6 linked regions of the Cricetulus griseus genome follow. The protein of the gene in region 1 purifies or fractionates together with the protein of each later gene. This does not show direct contact. Links are inferred from orthologs where the notes say so. Each region holds a gene or a part of one and is shown in the gene's direction. Other genes may lie near its edges.

Evidence for each region.
Region 2: the proteins of Nfkb2 (region 1) and Chuk purify together in Homo sapiens (affinity purification with western blotting; 4 studies listed by BioGRID and IntAct, with this or other methods). This does not show direct contact. The link is inferred for Cricetulus griseus from reciprocal best matches to the Homo sapiens genes NFKB2 and CHUK.
Region 3: the proteins of Nfkb2 (region 1) and Fbxw7 purify together in Homo sapiens (affinity purification with mass spectrometry; 7 studies listed by BioGRID and IntAct, with this or other methods). This does not show direct contact. The link is inferred for Cricetulus griseus from reciprocal best matches to the Homo sapiens genes NFKB2 and FBXW7.
Region 4: the proteins of Nfkb2 (region 1) and Nfkbia purify together in Homo sapiens (affinity purification with mass spectrometry; 6 studies listed by BioGRID and IntAct, counting the BioPlex papers as one, with this or other methods). This does not show direct contact. The link is inferred for Cricetulus griseus from reciprocal best matches to the Homo sapiens genes NFKB2 and NFKBIA.
Region 5: the proteins of Nfkb2 (region 1) and Map3k14 purify together in Homo sapiens (affinity purification with mass spectrometry; 6 studies listed by BioGRID and IntAct, with this or other methods). This does not show direct contact. The link is inferred for Cricetulus griseus from reciprocal best matches to the Homo sapiens genes NFKB2 and MAP3K14.
Region 6: the proteins of Nfkb2 (region 1) and Nfkbib purify together in Homo sapiens (affinity purification with mass spectrometry; 4 studies listed by BioGRID and IntAct, counting the BioPlex papers as one, with this or other methods). This does not show direct contact. The link is inferred for Cricetulus griseus from reciprocal best matches to the Homo sapiens genes NFKB2 and NFKBIB.

The regions. Positions count from the first base shown.
Region 1 is NC_048596.1:15,285,017-15,287,330, reverse strand, and holds part of Nfkb2 (nuclear factor NF-kappa-B p100 subunit), read left to right. Parts: intron 1-48; coding exon 49-153; intron 154-288; coding exon 289-374; intron 375-462; coding exon 463-601; intron 602-739; coding exon 740-865; intron 866-973; coding exon 974-1,189; intron 1,190-1,269; coding exon 1,270-1,411; intron 1,412-1,746; coding exon 1,747-1,861; intron 1,862-1,960; coding exon 1,961-2,174; intron 2,175-2,311; coding exon 2,312-2,314. UniProt on the Homo sapiens protein: NF-kappa-B is a pleiotropic transcription factor present in almost all cell types and is the endpoint of a series of signal transduction events that are initiated by a vast array of stimuli related to many biological processes such as inflammation, immunity, differentiation, cell growth, tumorigenesis and apoptosis.
Region 2 is NC_048596.1:17,455,241-17,458,740, forward strand, and holds part of Chuk (inhibitor of nuclear factor kappa-B kinase subunit alpha), read left to right. Parts: intron 1-1,061; coding exon 1,062-1,151; intron 1,152-1,281; coding exon 1,282-1,406; intron 1,407-1,587; coding exon 1,588-1,695; intron 1,696-2,320; coding exon 2,321-2,456; intron 2,457-3,500.
Region 3 is NW_023276806.1:69,434,700-69,437,194, reverse strand, and holds the end of Fbxw7 (F-box/WD repeat-containing protein 7), read left to right. Parts: intron 1-62; coding exon 63-331; 3' UTR 332-1,995; downstream 1,996-2,495. UniProt on the Homo sapiens protein: Substrate recognition component of a SCF (SKP1-CUL1-F-box protein) E3 ubiquitin-protein ligase complex which mediates the ubiquitination and subsequent proteasomal degradation of target proteins.
Region 4 is NC_048598.1:146,913,795-146,917,758, forward strand, and holds the start of Nfkbia (NF-kappa-B inhibitor alpha), read left to right. Parts: upstream 1-1,164; 5' UTR 1,165-1,244; coding exon 1,245-1,471; intron 1,472-2,010; coding exon 2,011-2,119; intron 2,120-2,450; coding exon 2,451-2,661; intron 2,662-2,934; coding exon 2,935-3,023; intron 3,024-3,145; coding exon 3,146-3,406; intron 3,407-3,857; coding exon 3,858-3,905; 3' UTR 3,906-3,964. UniProt on the Homo sapiens protein: Inhibits the activity of dimeric NF-kappa-B/REL complexes by trapping REL (RELA/p65 and NFKB1/p50) dimers in the cytoplasm by masking their nuclear localization signals.
Region 5 is NC_048600.1:114,875,100-114,879,342, forward strand, and holds the start of Map3k14 (mitogen-activated protein kinase kinase kinase 14), read left to right. Parts: upstream 1-1,443; 5' UTR 1,444-1,566; intron 1,567-4,243.
Region 6 is NC_048602.1:7,108,310-7,111,513, forward strand, and holds the end of Nfkbib (NF-kappa-B inhibitor beta), read left to right. Parts: coding exon 1-287; intron 288-1,370; coding exon 1,371-1,459; intron 1,460-1,542; coding exon 1,543-1,812; intron 1,813-2,537; coding exon 2,538-2,639; 3' UTR 2,640-2,704; downstream 2,705-3,204. Other genes in the region: Ccer2 (coiled-coil domain-containing glutamate-rich protein 2), read right to left, coding at 2,996-3,085. UniProt on the Homo sapiens protein: Inhibits NF-kappa-B by complexing with and trapping it in the cytoplasm.

The DNA.
Region 1 (2,314 bases):
AGATATGACCACAAAGCCAACGTGGCCCTAACCTATCTCCCATCCTAGAGTCTCCAGGGGCCTCAAACCTGAAGATTTCCCGAATGGACAAAACAGCAGGTTCTGTGCGTGGTGGTGATGAAGTTTATTTGCTTTGTGATAAGGTGCAGAAAGGTGAGGCAGGAGGCCTGAGAATTAAAAACACTGGTTGTTGGGGGGGCGGGGCGGGGCGAGGGACGGGGCAACTTCAGAATGAATGCACTGGACCTGCAGATTCTCCCTATGGCTAAGCTTCACTTTTCTCGGTAGATGACATTGAGGTTCGGTTCTATGAGGATGACGAGAATGGGTGGCAAGCCTTTGGGGACTTCTCTCCTACAGACGTTCATAAACAGGTACTGAGGGGCCAGGGCTTGACCTGGAGGCAGACCCAGGCAGAGATCTCACTGACACCAAAGGTCTGTCTCCCACCCTCCACCCCAGTATGCCATTGTGTTCCGGACACCGCCGTATCACAAGATGAAGATAGAGAGACCTGTGACGGTGTTCCTGCAGCTGAAACGCAAGCGTGGGGGGGACGTCTCCGACTCCAAACAGTTCACCTATTACCCTCTGGTGGAAGGTGGGGCCGGGCTTCAGGTTCCCAGGGGCTGGAGGGAGCATGGTGGCCTCGTTGGCGCCCTGGAGGTGGCTGCAGGTTGCCGGGCTTGAAGACTACCGGTGTATTGGATTTTAACTCCCAGTTTCTTGTTCCCGCTAGACAAGGAGGAAGTGCAGCGGAAGCGGAGGAAGGCCTTGCCCACCTTCTCCCAACCCTTCGGGGGCGGATCCCACATGGGTGGGGGTTCTGGGGGCTCTGCTGGGGGTTATGGAGGCGCTGGAGGAGGTGAGCGGGCCCAGTGGCCGGGAGAGGGGTGGCGGAGGTGAGGGGAAGTTAGAAGAGAAGTCTGGGAGAGTCCTGGCTGGCACCTCACAGCCTTGCCCATGCCCACAGGTGGCAGCCTCGGCTTTTTCCCCTCCTTGACCTACAGCCCCTACCAGTCCGGCGCGGCCCCAATGGGCTGCTACCAGGGTGGCGGGGGCGGAGCGCAGATGGCCGGCTCAGGGCGGGGCGTGGATGCCGGGGAGGTGGCCAAAGATCCGAAAGATCCGAGCGCGGCCCCCGAGGTCCCCCAGGGCGAGCCGCCGGCCCTAGACGCGCTGCAGCGAGGTAGGTCTGAGGAACGCTGGCAGGCGGGCGCGCGCCGGGCTGGGGACCTGGCCCGCACCCACGCGCCCTGTCGCCTCCAGCTCGCGAGTACAACGCGCGCCTGTTCGGTCTGGCGCAGCGCAGCGCCCGAGCGTTGCTGGACTACGGCGTCACCGCCGACGCGCGCGCTCTGCTGGCGGGACAGCGCCACCTGCTGACGGCCCAGGATGAGAACGGAGACACGTAAGCGGCCCGAGGGCCAGCAGCCTAGGGACATCCAGGGGGTCACCTGGTACCACCAGGTCTAAAGGTTGGGGCAGTAGAGAAAACGGCAAAGAGCCGAACCCTAGAGTCAGACAGATCTGGTCCTCGTTATTTTCTAGTTGTGTTCAAGAAATTTGCTCTCCCCAACCTTCAATTTTGTTAGCTGTGAAAGGGGCACAGTAGCAAGGTGTGACAAAGGATAAAGATGGTAACATCCAGGGTCACCAGTGAAGGTGACCATGAAGGTTTTGAGGGCAGATGATGCTTTGGGTGGCTTTGGTTTCCCAGTCAAGGTCTCCCTCTCCAACCCCCAGGCCACTGCACCTGGCCATTATCCATGGGCAGACTGGAGTCATTGAGCAGATAGCCCATGTCATCTGTCATGCCCAGTACCTTGGGGTCATCAACCTCACTAACCACCTGCACCAGGTATGGGAAGCCTCTGGGAAGGGGCGAGGGGTAGTGGTTGAAGACAGGGAATCCTAAGCTGTGGTGGGCTTGGCTCGCTCTGCCTTCCTCCCTCCCCAGACACCTCTGCACCTAGCAGTAATCACTGGGCAGACAAGGGTGGTGAGCTTCCTGCTGCAGGTGGGTGCAGACCCCACACTGCTGGATCGACATGGAGACTCGGCTGTGCACCTGGCTCTGCGGGCAGGTGCTGAAGCCCTAGGCCTGTTGCAGGTGCTGTTGCATAGTGGGGCCCATGCTGTGCCCCAAATATTGCACATGCCTGATTTTGCAGGTAAGTTTCCCACCTCCTCCAGTCCTGAGACAAGAAGGGTATATGATTAGTAGACTTCAGTAGGGTTACCTGGTCATGGTTTGTTCAGAGGCCACCTTGGGGGTCACAGCCACAGGTTGAGTGTGCTGTATCTCTAGGAC
Region 2 (3,500 bases), about 2.2 Mb from region 1:
TTACCTGACATCTATAATCCCAGCAATGGCAGGAGGGTTGCTGTAATTTGATACCATCTTGGGTTACAGTGGAGACCTAGTCTCAAAAATTAACAACAACAATAAAAAGATTAACAAAATAGATTAACACCAGCTAGTTAAATAGCGATCAGGCTATCAGAGTTCACACTTTTGTGTTGTTTACAGCTCAGATTCTTTACCATCTCCTCTCCAGTGTTATAAAAACACTATTGTCTTCTTAAAATTACATTTATTTATTTATTTTGCATGTATGAGTGCATCTCTGTGCTGTGACCTGTGTGCAGGTCATGGGACAACTTGGCAGGGGTTGTTCTTCTGTTTAAGTTTAAAAATTAGAAAGGGCTGGAGATGGAACTTACATGATGGAACACGAACGATAGAGTACATTAACCAGTTTATTGCAGGGCGGGAGAGCGAGAGGGGAGAGACAGGGTGAGAGAGAGGAGACAGAAGAGAAAGAGATAGTGTAAGAGAAGAGAGGGAAAGGAAGGTAAGAGCAAGAGAAGAGTAGAGAGTAAGAGAGAAAGGGAAGAATAAGAGAGAAGAATTAATGGTCAACCACCGGAAACAGAGAGAGAGAGAGATCAAGGGAGAGAGCAAGCAAAGAGAGAGAAAAAGAATATGGAGGTACAAACTTAAAAGGGGAGGCTTGCACATGCGTGCTGAGTCCTTACACAGCCCATAATGCCTGACATGGCCGTGCAACACAGGACCCTTTTGAGCTGTTTAAGTATCTGCCTGAATGCCGATATCCGTGTCCCACCCATTGTCAGGGGGCAGAGTCAGCATACAACAGGGGTTGATTCTTCTTCTCGTATGTGGATCCTGGGGATCAAATTTAGGTCATCAGGCTTGGTGACAGATACCTTTATCAGCTGAGCCATTTCAATGGCCTATCTTTTTGTTTTTTGCTGTGCTTAGGATTGAACCGACCCTATACATGCAATGGGAGTAATTTGTTACTAAGCTACACTCCCAATCTACCTTTCTTTTGCAAATCTTTCAACAATTTAATATATGTTATGTCTTAATATTCACAGATAATGCATAAAATAATTGATTTGGGTTATGCCAAAGATGTTGATCAAGGAAGTCTCTGTACATCTTTTGTGGGAACATTACAGTATTTGGTGAGACATTTCTTTAATTTGATTACTTAAAATTCTCATTGTTTTTTCTTAAGGCAATGAATATAGTGGTTCAAAACAATAGTAGCTCTTTTCTTACAGTGTTGGAACTTAAAGTACTTTCTATTTTAAGGCCCCAGAGCTCTTTGAAAATAAGCCGTACACAGCCACTGTGGATTATTGGAGCTTTGGGACCATGGTGTTTGAATGTATTGCCGGATATAGGCCTTTTTTGCATCATCTGCAGCCATTTACCTGGTAAGAAATGATGAGAACTTTGGCATAATCAATAGTAATAGAAAAATTTCAGTTGTTTCCTTTTCTCTTTCTATAGTGGTGAAATTGTCTTTTAACACAGAATTGAATGAAATTCAATGCAAGAGACCTTCAGAGTATTTGTGAGAATCACGTTGTCAACTAAGGTATCTTGGTTTTATAGGCATGAGAAGATTAAGAAGAAAGATCCAAAGTGTATATTTGCATGTGAAGAGATGACCGGAGAAGTTCGGTTTAGTAGCCATTTACCTCAACCAAACAACCTTTGTAGGTAAGTGTGGGAGGTCACGCACTTTTGAGAATAGTTATGTGTTTCAAAGTAGCATTATCCAGTAGTCCCTCCCATGAGGATGAAAGCATTGTCTTCTGTCACAAGAGGCTTATTGAGCATGTGAAAAGTAGTAAGGGGTGGAGATACGGCTCAGTGGGACAGTGTTTGCTTAGCCTGCTTGCTGGCTTTGCTGCTCAGCACTGCCTAGGTTGGCAGAGGAGTATGGTTAGTGTGACTGAGGAACTGAATTTTAAATGAGTAGTAATTATAAAAAACACCGTGATTAGTGATTATCCTATGGGATAACACAGACATTGTTGAACTGATAACTATTACCAATCAATGGATTGCCTTAGATGCTAAGAAAGCCCAAGGAATAAAGAAGTAAATGGCTTTTTTGAAGATTGGAGTTGGACTCTTCTTTTGGATTTGCCAGTTACAAAGTGATATGGGGATTTAGAGTTGGTTTTATTTGGGGGGGGCTTGTTTATTTTCATTCATGAATTATTTGAAAGTAAGATATAAATGGTACTGTTAAGTCATAGGCAAGGAAATGGATGACCTGTGATGTTGCCTGTTTAATTGGAACATAATGATATTCACACAGTTTTTGTTCATTTTTCAGTTTAATAGTAGAGCCCATGGAAAGCTGGCTACAATTGATGCTGAATTGGGACCCACAGCAGAGAGGGGGGCCTATTGATCTTACTTTGAAGCAGCCAAGATGTTTTGTATTAATGGATCATATTCTCAACTTAAAGGTCAGTTTTAATGGGGTGCATTTTAGAATACCTGCATTGACCTTAGCAAGTTGAAAATGAGTATAAATTTATATTAGTGATCTTTTCCTGGTATCCATTTTAAAAATGAATATTATATACTTAGAGTGGATCCTTTATTTCTTTAGCCAGGATTTCAGGTGTCTTCAGATGGTCTGAGGAGCCTTTTAAAGTGTCTTTTGGGATTTCCTTTTAGGACATTGATTGGTGTCATTACCCCTTCCCTCATTTAGATTTAATTGTACTGGTTTTGGCTTGGTGAGGAAGGCTCCCACTTGCCTCATGTCTGTATACTTTGCTGCTGAAAGACCAGCTTCCAATAGGTCAGAGAAACTGGAAAGGAGGTTGGTGTCAGCAGAGCTGTACACACACAGGAGTCTTTTTTCTAAGGGCCAAAGTTTAATTCTTCTTTTCAGTTCTCTCTCTGCTGTTGTTTCTACTCTGTTCTTTTTCTGTTCTGTTCGTTTACCCTGATGTTTTCCTTCTACATCTTTCCTGGTGTTTTTCTTCTACTATTCTTATTTTTCTCTTAATCCCTTCTATACATCCTAAGACAAAAAATTCTATGCAAGAGATTACCTCACCACCACAAGTTACATATTTTCCAAAAACAAATTAAAATCTTTACATAGGAAGAAATTACATTATGTTCATAAGTTGCATGTTTTTCTTAGACATTTTTATTTGTGTTAATTTGTATATTTGTGTTAATTTTTCCACCATAACATCTTCACCCCAAACCAATTATTCTTTTATAATTGATGAACTAAGTTTTTTCAGCCAGTTCTTTTTGTACTGGCAGGCAGCTGTTAGCAGTTTCAGTGCAGTAGATTTCTAACCTATTTCCACTCTACCAAACTTAATCTAGTAGTCTAGGTAACCATCTGTTTTCTTTACACATAGGAGGATCATTTAATTCCCTTTTATACCTTTTTTTCCCCAAGGTGCATACCAGGGCCTTGATTAATTCTGTAAGAAACGTGACCAAGGAACTCAGGCCTAAGCTTGGGTGTTTTTATAAGAACA
Region 3 (2,495 bases), on another chromosome or scaffold:
CTGTGCACAAGCCCCTGACCACCGTTTCTAACTAGTAATTAAGTCCCTGTGCTTTTGCCTAGGTCCCAACAAGCATCAGAGTGCTGTGACCTGTTTACAGTTCAACAAGAACTTTGTAATTACCAGCTCAGATGATGGAACTGTAAAACTCTGGGACTTGAAAACGGGTGAATTTATTCGAAACCTAGTAACATTGGAGAGTGGGGGAAGCGGGGGAGTTGTGTGGCGGATCAGAGCCTCTAACACCAAGCTGGTATGTGCAGTTGGGAGTAGGAATGGCACTGAAGAAACCAAGCTGTTGGTGCTGGACTTCGATGTGGACATGAAATGAAGAGCAAACAAGATGAATTTTGTCCAACTGTGTAGACAATATACTCCCTGCCCCCCCTGCGCAAAAATAAAAATTGAAAAGGAAAAAAAAAAAAACAGAAAAGAAAAAAAAAACAGAAAAAAAAGAGAAAAAAAGAAAAGGAAAAAAATCCCTTGTACTCAGTGGTGCAGGATGTTGGCTTGGGGCAACAGATTGAAAAGACCTACAGACTAAGAAGGTAAGAAGGATCAAAGAAGAGACAAGAAACCGCAACTGACAGGAGGCGGCAGCTGTCGCATCACCTAAAGGCTTCACTTCTGACTGAGGGGCAGCTTTGCAAAAGGAGACTTTCTAAATCCAACCAGGTGCAATTATTTTTTATTTTCTTCTCCAGTGGTCATTGGGCAGAGCTACACCAAGATGTTGTGACCGTCACCTAGAAAGGAGTGGCAATAATATCCAAACATGTGCTGATTGATCTTCTAATCAGAGAGCATCTGCAACAAAAAGTCATTTTTCTGAAGTGGAAAAGCTTAAAGAAATTACTGTGAATTATTTTTGTACAGTTATCATGAAGCTTTCTTTTTTTTTTTTTTCTTTTTCTTTTTTTTTTTTTTTTTTTTTTTGCCAACCATTGCCAATGTCAATCAATCACAGTATTAGCCTCTGTTAATCTATTTACTGTTGCTTCCATATACACTCTTCAATGCATACATTGCTCAAAGGTGGCAAGTTGTCCTGGGTTCTGTGAGTCCTGAGATGGATTTAATTCTTGATGCTGGTGCTAGAAGTAGGTCTTCAAAAATGGGATCGTTGTCCCACCCCTGTACTGTACTCCCAGTGGCCAAACTTATTTATGCTGCTAAATGAAAGAAAGAAAAAGCAAATTATTTTTTTTTATTTTTTTTCTGCTGTGACGTTTTAGTCCCAGACTGAATTCCAAATTTGCTCTAGTTTGGTTACAGAAAAAAAGACTTTTGCCACTGAAACTTGAGCCATCTGTGCCTCTAAGAGGCTGAGAATGGAAAAGTTTCAGATAATAAAGAGTGAAGTTTGCCTGCAAATAAGAATCGAGAGTGTGTGCAAAGCTTATTTTCTTTTATCTGGGCAAAAATTAAAACACATTCCTTGGGACAGAGCCTGAGGTGCCTGTTCTGTGGAGAAACTTCTTTTTGAGGGCTGTGGTGAATGGATGAACGTATATAGTAAAACTGACAAGATATTTTAAAGATATATATAAAATACAGAATAAAAGGAAGTTGCTGGTCAGTCGTAGCATCTTACAGTATTTGGGAAAACAACTGTTACAGTTTCATTGCTCTGAGTAACTGACGTGAGAGGAGCATCGCTCTGTAGTGACGGTGTCACCCGCAAACCAGCGCGATGAACGGGAGTCAGATGGTCCGCCTCATTCACCAGGAGCCGTAACTCAAGCTGAACTGTGAAAGTGGTTAACACTGTATCCTAGTCAGTCTTTTTTTTTCCTCCTCCTGTTTATTTTTTTGTTTGTTTTATTTATAGTCTGATTTAAAACAATCAGATTCAAGTTGGTTAATTTTAGTTATGTAACAACCTGACATGATGGAGGAAAACAACCTTTAAAGGGATTGTGTCTATGGTTTGATTCACTTAGAAATTTTATTTTCTTATAACTTAAGTGCAATAAAATGTGTTTTTTCATGTTATTATGCCTGTTTCTTTCACTTGGATAATACTGTTTCATTATAGAGTGTTTGTGTCTAATGTTTTAAATAATTGGGTTTTGGTTTCTTAGCATTCCCTTCATTGTAACATAGAAATCAGTGCTACCAAGCTCAACCAAGGGCGAGGTACTGTGGATGTCACCTGCAGTGGCAAGGATGCCACTGCACTGTACTTACTTTCATCTTTGCATTCGGTCTATAAACATGGCGTCTGGTACCTTCAGCACCTCAAAGGTGGGCCTGAGAGCTACAGCTCAAGCTGGTTAGGTTGTGCCCCAGAATAACCAGTGTAATGACAGTATCCAACCCCTGTTTTCAAAAACCAAAATTCTCATGCTGCCTTTGATGAAATTCTAGCAAACTAAAACAAGGTTTTGGGAGGGAAAGTGTATGTATGTATGTCCATGTTTGTGTCTGTCCGCCCTTACATTCTTATTTTGCCATTACAGAGTCTGGAAAGACATATATCTCTAATAATCTCA
Region 4 (3,964 bases), on another chromosome or scaffold:
GAGGGAGTTGACAGATTGCAGGCTCCTAAGTGGAGAAGGGGTGAAAGCAGATATTCTATTTCTGCAGGTAAAACTAGTGCATCACAGGACCAAATCCCTTTCTCTGGGGAGTAGCTACCCACAATGCTGCCTTCCCTGGGGAGCAAGGACCCTGGAAGAGCCAGCAGGGTTCAGATGTGGTCAATGTGAGGACTGCCTTGAGCATCCTACAGGATGCCTTGCAGCTACTTTCTTAGCTATAATTAAGGGCCAGCCTTGGCTAAAGTACTAAGCCAGTTGCTCCGCTAGGCACTCACCATAAACTCAGACTCCATTCTCTGCAGCAAGTGGTAAATCTGACACAAGAACTCAACAGTTACTGTTGCTAGGAAGCTACAACTTCTACTGCAAACACTACTACACCTTGCTCTACTTTTTTTAAAAAAAAAAATGTGGTTTCTATTTAACACTTTTTCCATACATAGCTAGAGTTCGCCCTCCCCCAGGAGACAAGATTATCGAACCCTATTTAATATTCTAGGGGTTCTCCAAGCGCTTGGGTGTTTTTAATGTCAAAGCTTCCCAGCTTCATGGGGTGGGGGTGAGGGACGGCCAAATGTCCCTGCAGTGCCTAGAGCCTGGAATGGGCAAAACACAGACGGCCTAGTGACACTCATGTCTCCTTCCTCGAAGAAATTTATGAGAAGCGAATCCCTGCAGTCAGCCAGCATTTCCACTCGTGGGTTTTCAAAAGATCAAAAACCGGAAAGGACCTGCAAATTGGCAAATCGCTAAGAGGAACCGCCCAGCGGGTCTGCGTCCTTGGGATCTCAACAGCTGAGGACCCCACATCCAATCGACAACGGTGGGAAACCCCAGGGAAAGCAGGGTTCTTGCAGAGGCCTGGGGTTACTGAGTGCAGGCTGCAGGGAAGTACCTAGAGGGAGGGGGCCTGGTCCGGAGGACTTTCCAGCCACTCAGGGCTCATCAAAAAGTTCCCTGTGCATGACCCCAGTGGCTCATCGCAGGGAGTTTCTCCAATGAACCCCGGCCCTGGGTTTAGGCTTCTCAGTCGAGGACGAGCCAGTTCTTTTTCTAGTCTGACTGGCTTGGAAATTCCCCGAGCCTGACCCCGCCCCTGAGAAATCCCCTGCCAGCGTTTATAGGGCGGCGCGGCGGCGCTGGCGAGCCCACAACAGTCGCAACTCGCCGCCCAGCCGCCAGCAGCTTGCAGCTCGCAGCCCCGCACGCAGCCCCGCGCAGCCATGTTTCAGCCAGCCGGCCACGGCCAGGACTGGGCCATGGAGGGCCCGCGGGACGCTCTCAAGAAGGAGCGGCTGGTGGACGATCGCCACGACAGCGGCCTGGACTCCATGAAGGACGAGGAGTACGAGCAGATGGTGAAGGAGCTGCAGGAGATCCGCCTGCAGCCGCAGGAGGCGCCGCTGGCCGCCGAGCCCTGGAAGCAGCAGCTCACGGAGGACGGAGACTCGTAAGTGGCGGCGGGCACGGGCGGCGGGGTCGCGCGCGGGAGGCCTGGGGTGGGGTGCGGTGGGGACCTGCAGCGCGCTCGGGGCTCTGCACGGAGGGAGCACGACGGGGCTCCCGGGGATGGCGAGCGCCCAGGTCGCCTGCCTCCCCATCCCATCCCCCTTCTCCTCCCCTGCCAGGGACCCGGCGTAGCCGAGCGCAGGCCGGGGGCGGGGCGGGGCGGCCGCGGGGACGCCAAGTCCCGGCCTGGCAGTTGTGCGCGCAGCCGCCGGGCGCCGCGCGGCCGCGAGGGGAAGTACAGGGCGTTCCGGGCGGCGGAGGGCGGGCCGGTCTGGCCGGCGCCCGCCCGGAGGGGGTGGGGCACGGAAAGTCCCTGGGCCCCTGCCAGGAACACTCAGCTCATAATAACCTCGCGGAAAACACCGCGGCCGCGGCCTCCAGAAACCCCGGCCTTGCGCAATCCCCCGCAGCCCGCGCCTCTTGGGGGCCCCCACGCAGTGCGCTCACCGCCCCTCGGGGGCTTTCCCTGTCATCCCTCAGGTTCCTGCACTTGGCAATCATCCATGAAGAGAAGACTCTGACCATGGAAGTGATTCGGCAGGTGAAGGGAGACCTGGCCTTCCTCAACTTCCAGAACAACCTGCAGCAGGTGCGCGCTGCCCCAGCCGTGCCCTCTTTGACCTGGTGGTGGAGTTGGATGTTAGCTCAGTCGCCCCCAAAGTGTTTCTAAATTAATAGTCACTGAGCCCTTATCTGCCCTGGCCTTTTACATTCAAATTAGCCAACATCTTAGAGCTTGAAGAAAATCCCAGGGGTTTGGTGAGGTCTTTACGACCCAACTGGGGCTTCATGTTTGCCTGGTCCCCTGTAGCCATCAGGGAGGAGCAGAATTCACAAGGAGTTGTCTGGGGTTCAGGAAACTCAAGACTATGGATTTGCTCCATGACTTATCCCCGTTCTGTTTCCTCTTCCGTTTGTAGACTCCACTTCACTTGGCTGTGATCACCAACCAGCCAGGAATTGCTGAGGCACTTTTGGAAGCTGGCTGTGATCCTGAGCTCCGAGACTTTCGAGGAAATACCCCTCTACATCTTGCCTGTGAGCAGGGCTGCCTGGCCAGTGTAGGAGTCCTGACACAGACGTGCACACCTCAGCATCTCCACTCCATCCTGCAGGCCACCAACTACAATGGTAGGTCTATCAGTCCATCCCAGGACACAGAGAAGGGAGAGGTGGGCCCACTTGAGTCTAGGCTAGAGCCTAAACTCTCAACATAAAACGTTCAGACAATATGGACTTTAAAAAAAATCCCTTCTTGATGTCCTTATAATAATGTTCAGTCAAAACTCAAATTCTGAGTTCTTAAGAATTGAGGATATTTGTGGTTGTCCCATAAGAAAATAGGGCACGAGTTGTGTGACAATTGAAACAAGTAGTTATATTTTTTGTCTCTTATTCCTCTAGGCCACACGTGTCTGCACCTCGCCTCCATCCATGGCTACCTGGGCATCGTGGAGCATTTGGTGTCTTTGGGTGCCGATGTCAATGCCCAGGTGAGTGCAGTTCCCTTCTAGTTGGAGCCAGTCAGGTTCCTCCTGAACTCTTCCAGACTTGTTCTTACTGCAAGTGGATTTCCAGATGTGGCCTTAAACATGTCTGATTGCTTTGGTTTCAGGAGCCCTGCAATGGCCGGACAGCCCTCCACCTGGCAGTGGACCTGCAGAACCCTGAACTGGTGTCGCTCCTGTTGAAGTGTGGTGCTGACGTCAATAGAGTGACCTACCAAGGCTACTCCCCCTATCAGCTCACCTGGGGCCGACCAAGTACCCGGATACAGCAGCAGCTGGGCCAGCTGACCCGGGAAAATCTTCAGATGCTGCCCGAGAGTGAGGATGAGGAGAGCTACGACACAGAGTCAGAATTCACGGAGGATGAGGTGAGTGTTCGTCACTACCAGAATGGTCCATTCTCCCTCACCCCTCTCCCGTCCCTAGAGCAGAACTAGTCTTTATTATAGGGATCTCAACATAATTATTTAACGAAACGCAGCTTGCAAAACCAGTATCCCAAGAACTTGTCTCTCTGATTTGTTTTAACCCTTGGAGGTGAAGGGAGGTTCTGGAGTTTGAACCCAGGCCTTAACACGTGGTAACAGGCATGTGTTCTGCCATTGAACTACACCTCCTGCCGTAGCTTAGATTGTTTTTAAGGGAGAGAATCAATGAAGGAAAACTCCGACAGCATGGGGGATTCATTCTATTTGGGTTAAGGAGGAAAGAGTCCAAGATTGTGAGTTATTTGCAGAAGCAGTCCCCTCCCCTCATCCCAATGTCTTGGCAAAGTTCTAGGAATTTAATATGCCTTTTTTTTTTCCCCTCTTGTTTTAGCTGCCCTATGATGACTGTGTATTTGGAGGCCAACGTCTGACATTATGAGTGGAAAGTGTCAAAAAGAACATGGACTTGTATATTTGTATAAAACAAGAGTTTTATTT
Region 5 (4,243 bases), on another chromosome or scaffold:
CTCTCAGCTGGTCACTGGCAAAGCCAAGATATGTGCCAGAGACTGTCTTGACTCTCAAGTATACGTTCTATGGAAGTCACAGCCAGAAATGCTCCTAGGGACAACACTTGTCATGGTCAAGCATAAGACAGCATGGGCTAGAACTATGAGCAACTTCAAGCTTTGCACTCACACGCTTCTAGCCCAGGGGTGGGTGGGTGAGCCTCTCGGTTTGTAGGCTGTTTATTTTGTTTTCATACAGAAACCTGGTTATGCAGCCCAGATAGGCCTCAAACCTGTCATCCTCCTGTCTCAGCCTCCTGAATGCCGGCCAGATTGTGGCATTCCCACAATGAATGAATGGCCTTTCCTGGTGTCCAACAACAGCTGTCTGCTTGGACACATCTCCAGAGGGAAGCTAGGTCTGCAAAGCGGTCACAAGCAGACAGTGGCCTGGCTCTGGCTCAAACCTTTCCAGACAGGAGTCTCCTTATTTTTCAAGCCAGACTCGGATGGGGCTGCCCACTCCCACCCGACATCCAGTCCCTGCAGCTGCAGCTAAGATTCCCAGCAGAGTCCCTACGGTCACAACACATCTTTCATTCTGGACACTCTAAAAAAAAAAAAAAAAAAAAAAGTGACTTCTTATTACCACTAAATAGAGGCTTGCTGTTCAGTAGAAAGCTCATTAGCAAAGTTAGAAAAGGGGGAAAAAATCTATACATTCCCTACACTCCCTCTCGGCCCCATCAAAAGGGCACTGTAGACACCATGTTTTCAAAGACCAGGTCTTTCTGGCGCTGTAGTCTAGGATGGAGCCTGTGCCCAGCACTCACACTGCGCAGCTTCTCCTGGGGTGGAAAGAGGTTGTACCAAGCCGTCTGCGTTTCAACACTAGGCCTGTCCTACGTGGGCCTCAGGCTCCCCACGCACAGTAACCTCGTCTCCAGACACTTCACAGCACCAGGCACACACCAAGTGCTCCACAAAGTGTTTCTAGCCCCTCCAGGACCCCACGAAGCAGCCACTCCCTCAAGCAGAAAGGAAGTGGAATCCAAGACCTTGGAGGGAAAGCGCCTCGCCATCTCCAAGGTAACCCAAGCCGAAGCTGGGAATGCCCACGCATGCGTACAGTCGCCCTTCCTTCCCGTAACCTCAAAAAGAATGCAACCCGTAAAAAAGATTTGCCAGAAGCCGAAAGCGCATGTGTGGTTCCACCAACACCCTGGCCTCCTCCGCCTACTGCCCGCCCGTCCAGCCAGCCCTCGCCTCTAGAAACCCTGGCCGGAAGCAGTATCCATTTTGGGAAAGGCCGCACTAGCCAATCGCGGCTGGGGAGATGACGGCAGGCCGACTTGGAGGAGACGCCTTATTGGCTTACTTGTGGGAGTGGGCGGGATCAAGGGTCGCAGTGCGGCCAAAGAAAGGAGGCGGGAAGCTCGCAAAGTCGCAGCCACAGGGAGAGGCGTGGCCTAGGGCGGGGCTAGACATGGGGGCGTGGTCGGGGAGGGGCGGCCTGGGCCCCCGAGCTATCGCTGGCCAGCGAAGCGCCACACTCGCTTGGTTGAGGAGAACGGCGCTCAGCCGGTAGGTGACTGGGCAGAGCCCGGAGATCTAGAGCGGGGCGCTGAGGGCCCGAGCGGGCGGGGACGGGGAGCCCCTGAGATCGGGGCCGGGGTGCGCCTTGCTCCCCGCGAGGGCTGCCTGGGATGGGTGGCCGGGTGTCTGCGTTCTAGGCTGCTCGCACGCGCCGCGCCACCAGCGCCACGCTCGCAGCGCCGTGCTCTCCCGGAGCTTCCAGGCCGCGTACCCACGGGTCACACGCTCGCCCGAAACGCGCGAGGGCACTGCCTTCTTCCCCTTCCCCAACATCCGCGCCGTCGAGTTCAGCCGCCCCGCTAGCAGACCCGGCTCTCAGGTGCCCCCCAAGAGAAGGAGACGGCTCCACCGCCCTAGCCGAGGAAAGCGCTGCCTTGAATTCACTGTGAAGTGCCTGGGGTCGCTTGTGCTGGGGGAAGGAGCAGAGGCTGCCCTGGGCACTCAGCAGGGCAGTGCTAGTCGCCCTCAGTACCCTCCCTCTTCGGTGATCCTGACCTTTCTGTGTGGTTCTGTGTTCTACCCGGGACTTTTGGTGTGTGTTTATATGTGCTAGTCCCATCTTGGAAGCTCACCGTGGCTCTAGCAACTTGCAGCCACCTGTCACCAAGTAAAAAACATTTGTCGGAGGCAGAGATTCCCACCTGCTTAGGAGCCTCTTCCGTGTTAACTTCAGAAAAAGTCCTTCCCCCCCCACCCCCGTGTTCATTAACTTCAGAAAAAGTCTCCCCCCCCCCAGTTGAGGTTAAAAGATGGCTCTCGGCACTAAAGGATGGGTTGTAAAGGAGAGGATGATTGAAGAAAAGTTTTTAAAATCCGTGTATTGATGACAATTTGTTGTTGTTGTTGTTCACTGGGGACAGTGAACTTGATGAATTGATTAAGGACTCTAAAAGTGAATGAGCAGTGAACTTTGGAACACTGGCATTGCGGCTAGAAACACAGTCTTTCTGAAAGATCAGAGGATCCTAACATTAGTGATGCATGGTTTTGCTTAGTAGCTTTCACCTTTAGTGGTAGGTGTGGTAAGACGGATAAAGTATTATTCAATTGATAAGTGAAGTACTTGAACCAGGTGTGTGGGGTGAGGGTGAGTGTATGTCTGAGAAGATGTGGGGTAGCTTTTTTTGCTCTTAACATGAGAGGATGCTTGAGGAGTTCTTGACTTGCTTATGATGTATCTCTTGCATCTGAAGTGATGTCAAAGGCAATTCCTTTGGGTCAGTGCCAGCTTTCTGAGTTTTTCAAACACCTTTAAGACATCTTGAAAGCTAGGCAGGGTGGCACACCCTTGTAATCCCACCACTCGGGAGGCTAAGGCAGGAGGAATACTGTGACTTTGAAGGCATCGAGGGCTTCATAGCAAGATCCTGTCTCAGAACACCGGAAAGAAAAAGAGAAGAAGACATCCTGATTTATTTGGAAGAGTGTGGTGAATTTCTCAGAAGATCTCATAATAATAGTTAATATGTCTGACTTAATTTTAGAAATAACTACCTAGCTGTACATACCCAGAAATATATACCAGCAGTTTATGAAATTAAACAGGTACTAGGGTTTAGATCATTTTCTGATTGTTCCTAGGTAGAAGGAGCAGTTTTGAGGTTTTTTCCCCCCTTCTGGTGTCAGAGTTTGTGGGAGTGGCACCATAGAGACCCTGCCAAATGAACCTTCATCTATTAAACAAAAATGTCTGGTTTTGCCATTCGGCCTCGGCAGATAGAGGTTTGGTTCCTCATTTTGGTTCTCCTGATGAACACTGATTCCTTTGTGATTTGCTCCAAGTGTTTGTATGAGAGAGGGTAGGACTCACCCTGATTGGTTGTCTAGCCCTTGGCAACTGTTAGGAGTTTTTTTTTTTTTTCTCCCCCGGTGAGTGAAAGGGTTCATTACTAGCTAGGGACTGGTAGGAGATTGGAGGGGTGTACAGTATCTAAAAGTTCAAATCCAGGCTTGTTTGTTTAGGCCATTTTGCCCACTCTTAAGAATTTTATGTTATCGCCTTGGCCTCTGAAGTCACTTTTAGGATTCCTATTTGTTTTTCCTGTCTGGGTGGACAGCACATGGACTTCTCCCAACAGCTGCTTCTGCTCTGGGAAGAGCTCACAGGTTCATCCTGGGTGGCTTGACAGATGTTCTTTCTGGGGAGAAAGAAGGAATCTGAAAACCAAATTCAGTCTAAGTGAAAGGTCAGCTTGCCACACATGCAGGCAGCAGACATTTCCACTGTTGGCTTCCATCACCTCAATGCTTTTTTTCTTCCTGGCAAAAGGTTAAAATGCAACTAAAATTCTGCTTTCGTGATTAATAAGTCACTACCGCAGTTGTGTCTGATGCTTCCTGTTTGCCCCATTTTAGTATTTCAGTTAAACTGGAGGTATCTCAGCACTCTGGACACTTTTGATAGCACCAGCATGAAGTGGGTGTGGAGAGGGGCGGTTTGGAGAGTGGATTTGGGGAGCTCTAAGGATAAGTCAGCCCTCTGCACACTAGGATCCCGAATAAGGGAAAGGAATGGGGTTGAGTGTTTTCACGGGTAGGGTGAGCCATTGAAGTGTGAGCACCCTGCGTTCATTCGGTGATGCTGACTGCCGGACTGGTAGCTGTGGGGCAGAGCGGGCAGGCCAGGTGGAAGGCAGGCAGTATAGGAAAGTAGCCGGCAGTTCTG
Region 6 (3,204 bases), on another chromosome or scaffold:
GAAGTTGTATGCAGCTGGCGCCGGAGTGTTGGTGGCTGAGCGAGGGGGCCACACCGCTCTGCACTTGGCCTGCCGGGTGAGGGCACACACGTGCGCATGCGCGCTGCTCCAGCCCCGCCCCAGACGCCCAAGGGATGTCTCAGATACCTACCTCACTCAGAGCCAGGACAATACCACAGACACCGGCCCCACCCCTGTTGCTGTGAACCCTCAACCCAACCCAGAGATCGAAGAGGATCCGAGTGATGAAGACTGGAAGCTGCAGCTAGAAGCTGAAAACTATGAGGGTGAGGGCCCTGGGCCCTGGGAAGGACGAGAGCCCCTGGCCAGAGTCAGGGAAACAAACCACCTGCTCTTCTTACCCAACTTGAAACACAGCCGCTGGCATAGAGCCCTGGGTTTGATTCCCAGCATAACCTAGCATGGTGGTGCCCTTGGGAAGTGAAAGCAAGAGGATCAGGAGTTCAAGGTTGTCTTTGGTGCTTTGTAGTTTGAAGCCAATCTAGGTTCAGGAGACCCTGTCCCATCTCAGGGTATGGCCGTGTGCAGCTGTGATCCCAGCACTTGGGTGACAAAAGCCAGGAGCAGAAACATCATGAGATCATGTTAGATGCATAGTGAGCCCCTGTTTCAAAAAGAACCCCAAAGCAAAATCATCCCTAGGCTCCAGGAATCCCAGCACTGGGACTAAGGACCTCCACTCAGCCTGGGAGTGTGAAGAATTGGACAGACAGGGCTTCTCTTTCCCAGATCTGGTCATCAAACTACTTGCAGCCCAGACCTGCCACCCACAGAGCCAGAAATGCCAGGATACAGTGGTTGAGCCTAGGCTACCCATCTGCAAGGTGCCTTTGTTCCAGAACTGTTCCCAAGTATAAGCCACTAGCCCAGCCTGTCCAGGATGGGAGGACCCATCTCATGCTCCGAGCCATGGGCAGATGGTGCAGAGCTTACCCTCCTCAGTCAGGCCTCCTGGGAAAAGAACTAAGGTCATCTGGTAGCCAGTGTCCCAGGTCTTTTGTGCAACTCCTTTTGTTATTGTGCTTTGTTTTGTTTTGTTTTATTTATGATGCTGGGGATGGAATTTAAGAGCTGTTCATGCTCGTCAAGCCCCTGTTCTTTGTGAAGGAAGACCAAAGACTTGATCCTGTTGGTCCACAGACTATGTGCCCAGACTCATCCCTTGTAGATCCCAGATACTGTACCACTCAGGCTTACACCCACCAGCATGCTGACACCCAAGACTTAGGCATCTGGAATTCGGGAGCCAGCCCCCAAACCTGGTATCTTTAGCTCACGTGGCCTTTCCCTAGGGTTGTGACAGAGCTGAGGCGCCTTAGTTTATCTGACACTGGTTGCTCTGTCCCCAGGCCACACCCCACTCCATGTAGCTGTCATCCACAAAGATGCAGAGATGGTCCGGCTGCTCAGGGATGCTGGAGCTGACCTCAATAAACCGGTGAGCCACTGTGGTGGGCCAGTGTGTGAAGGCACCCTCCCGTCTTTGGTTGGTCTCCCTGACTGATCTGGCATATCCCACAGGAGCCCACGTGTGGCCGGACCCCTCTGCACCTGGCGGTAGAAGCCCAGGCAGCCAACGTACTGGAGCTTCTTCTGAAGGCTGGTGCTGACCCTACCGCCCGCATGTATGGGGGCCGCACCCCACTTGGCAGTGCTCTGCTCCGGCCCAATCCCATCCTTGCCCGCCTCCTCCGTGCACATGGAGCCCCTGAACCTGAGGATGAGGATGATAAGCTCGGCCCTTGCAGCAGCAGCAGCAGCGATAGTGACAGTGACGGCAGAGATGAGGGCGTGAGTGAGGAGTGGGCGTCCCCACGGGAGGGGTCAGGGCAAACCGTGGCGGATGCTCCCAGGGACTTAGACAAGGGACACGTGAGATGAGGAGAAACTTATAGACTTGGGCAAGGGTGGCGGTGGTGGCTGAAGAGCTAAGGCAATCTGTCCTGGTGGCACACACCATTAGTCTTGAATCTCAGTATTCAGGAGGCAGAGGCAGGTGGATGTCTGTGAGTTTAAGGCCAAAGAACAAAGACGAGCCAAGTTAGACTTCCTCCAGAGGTGGTCACGAACACAGGTAGGGAGGGTCTGAGCATCGGAGGTGACTTTGGGAGCAGGATTGCCGAACTTAGGCTGTAGGTAGGTGACCTTGGTCAGAGTGGCCAGAACACTGATGGTAGAGAAAGACCTCAGGCAGCGGTGCAGGGAGCATTACTGAAGAACCCAGACAACGGCACACCCCTGTGTAGGGGTTGGTATAGCATGAAGAGGGTTGAGGGTGGGTGAAGGCAGAGGGGAGACGGGAGAGAGCCACTGTAAGGCTGGACCACAGGGGTAATGGGGGAAGGTGGTCTTGAGAACCAGGACCTCCAGCGTGAGAGGAGGTGCACTGAGTGGGAACCATATCGGAGGGGCAAGGGGACACAGGCGTCAGAGGGAGACCCCATTAAGTGCCGTGCCCTGGGCAGTGGGCAAGGTGGCAGCTACCTGACCCCTGTGTTATCCCTCTCTGTCCCCAGGATGAATATGACGACATTGTGGTCCACAGTGGCAGGAGCCAAAACTGGCTACCTCCCTCCCCGGCACCCAAACCTCTTCCTGATGACTCCAACCCCGCCTGACTTAATTTCTAATATTAATATAATTTCCATTTAATAAAGCTTCAGACCTGAAGCCAGAGCCCAGACTGATAGTGCCTTCCTGCTTATTTCAGGTCCCATTCCTCCAAAGCTGTGTGAGCCGTGGGGTTTGCTTTGTGCTTTATTCACTCAGAGGGATGGAGGGGTGGGGTGGGGTAGGGTGGGGTGGGGTGGGGTCCTGAGTCGTCTGAACTCCACCCCTGCCCCATTCAGACTTCTCTCGGCCTTGGTTCCCAGGTGCACTCTTGCTTCCCAGTCCCTGCCAGATGGAATGGGGGCTCTGAGGTCAACAGCCCTGGGCCTTAGGGAGTATAGGAAAGGAGAAGAGTGGAGTGGGGTCAGCCTTCCCTCGCAAGTGCCTCCCCCAGCATGGCGGTGGCCTTCTTTAGCTGCTCCTCCATGTGCTCTAGCCGGTCCACACCGTCTTCCTGGGGGAGATCAGAAACATGGTTACCACCTTGGTGGCCACTGTGACTCCAACCTGCTGCTTCATACACTGGTGGCTTGAAGTCCCTTCCTAGCTGTCCGTCATGGTCAGTGATGGCTA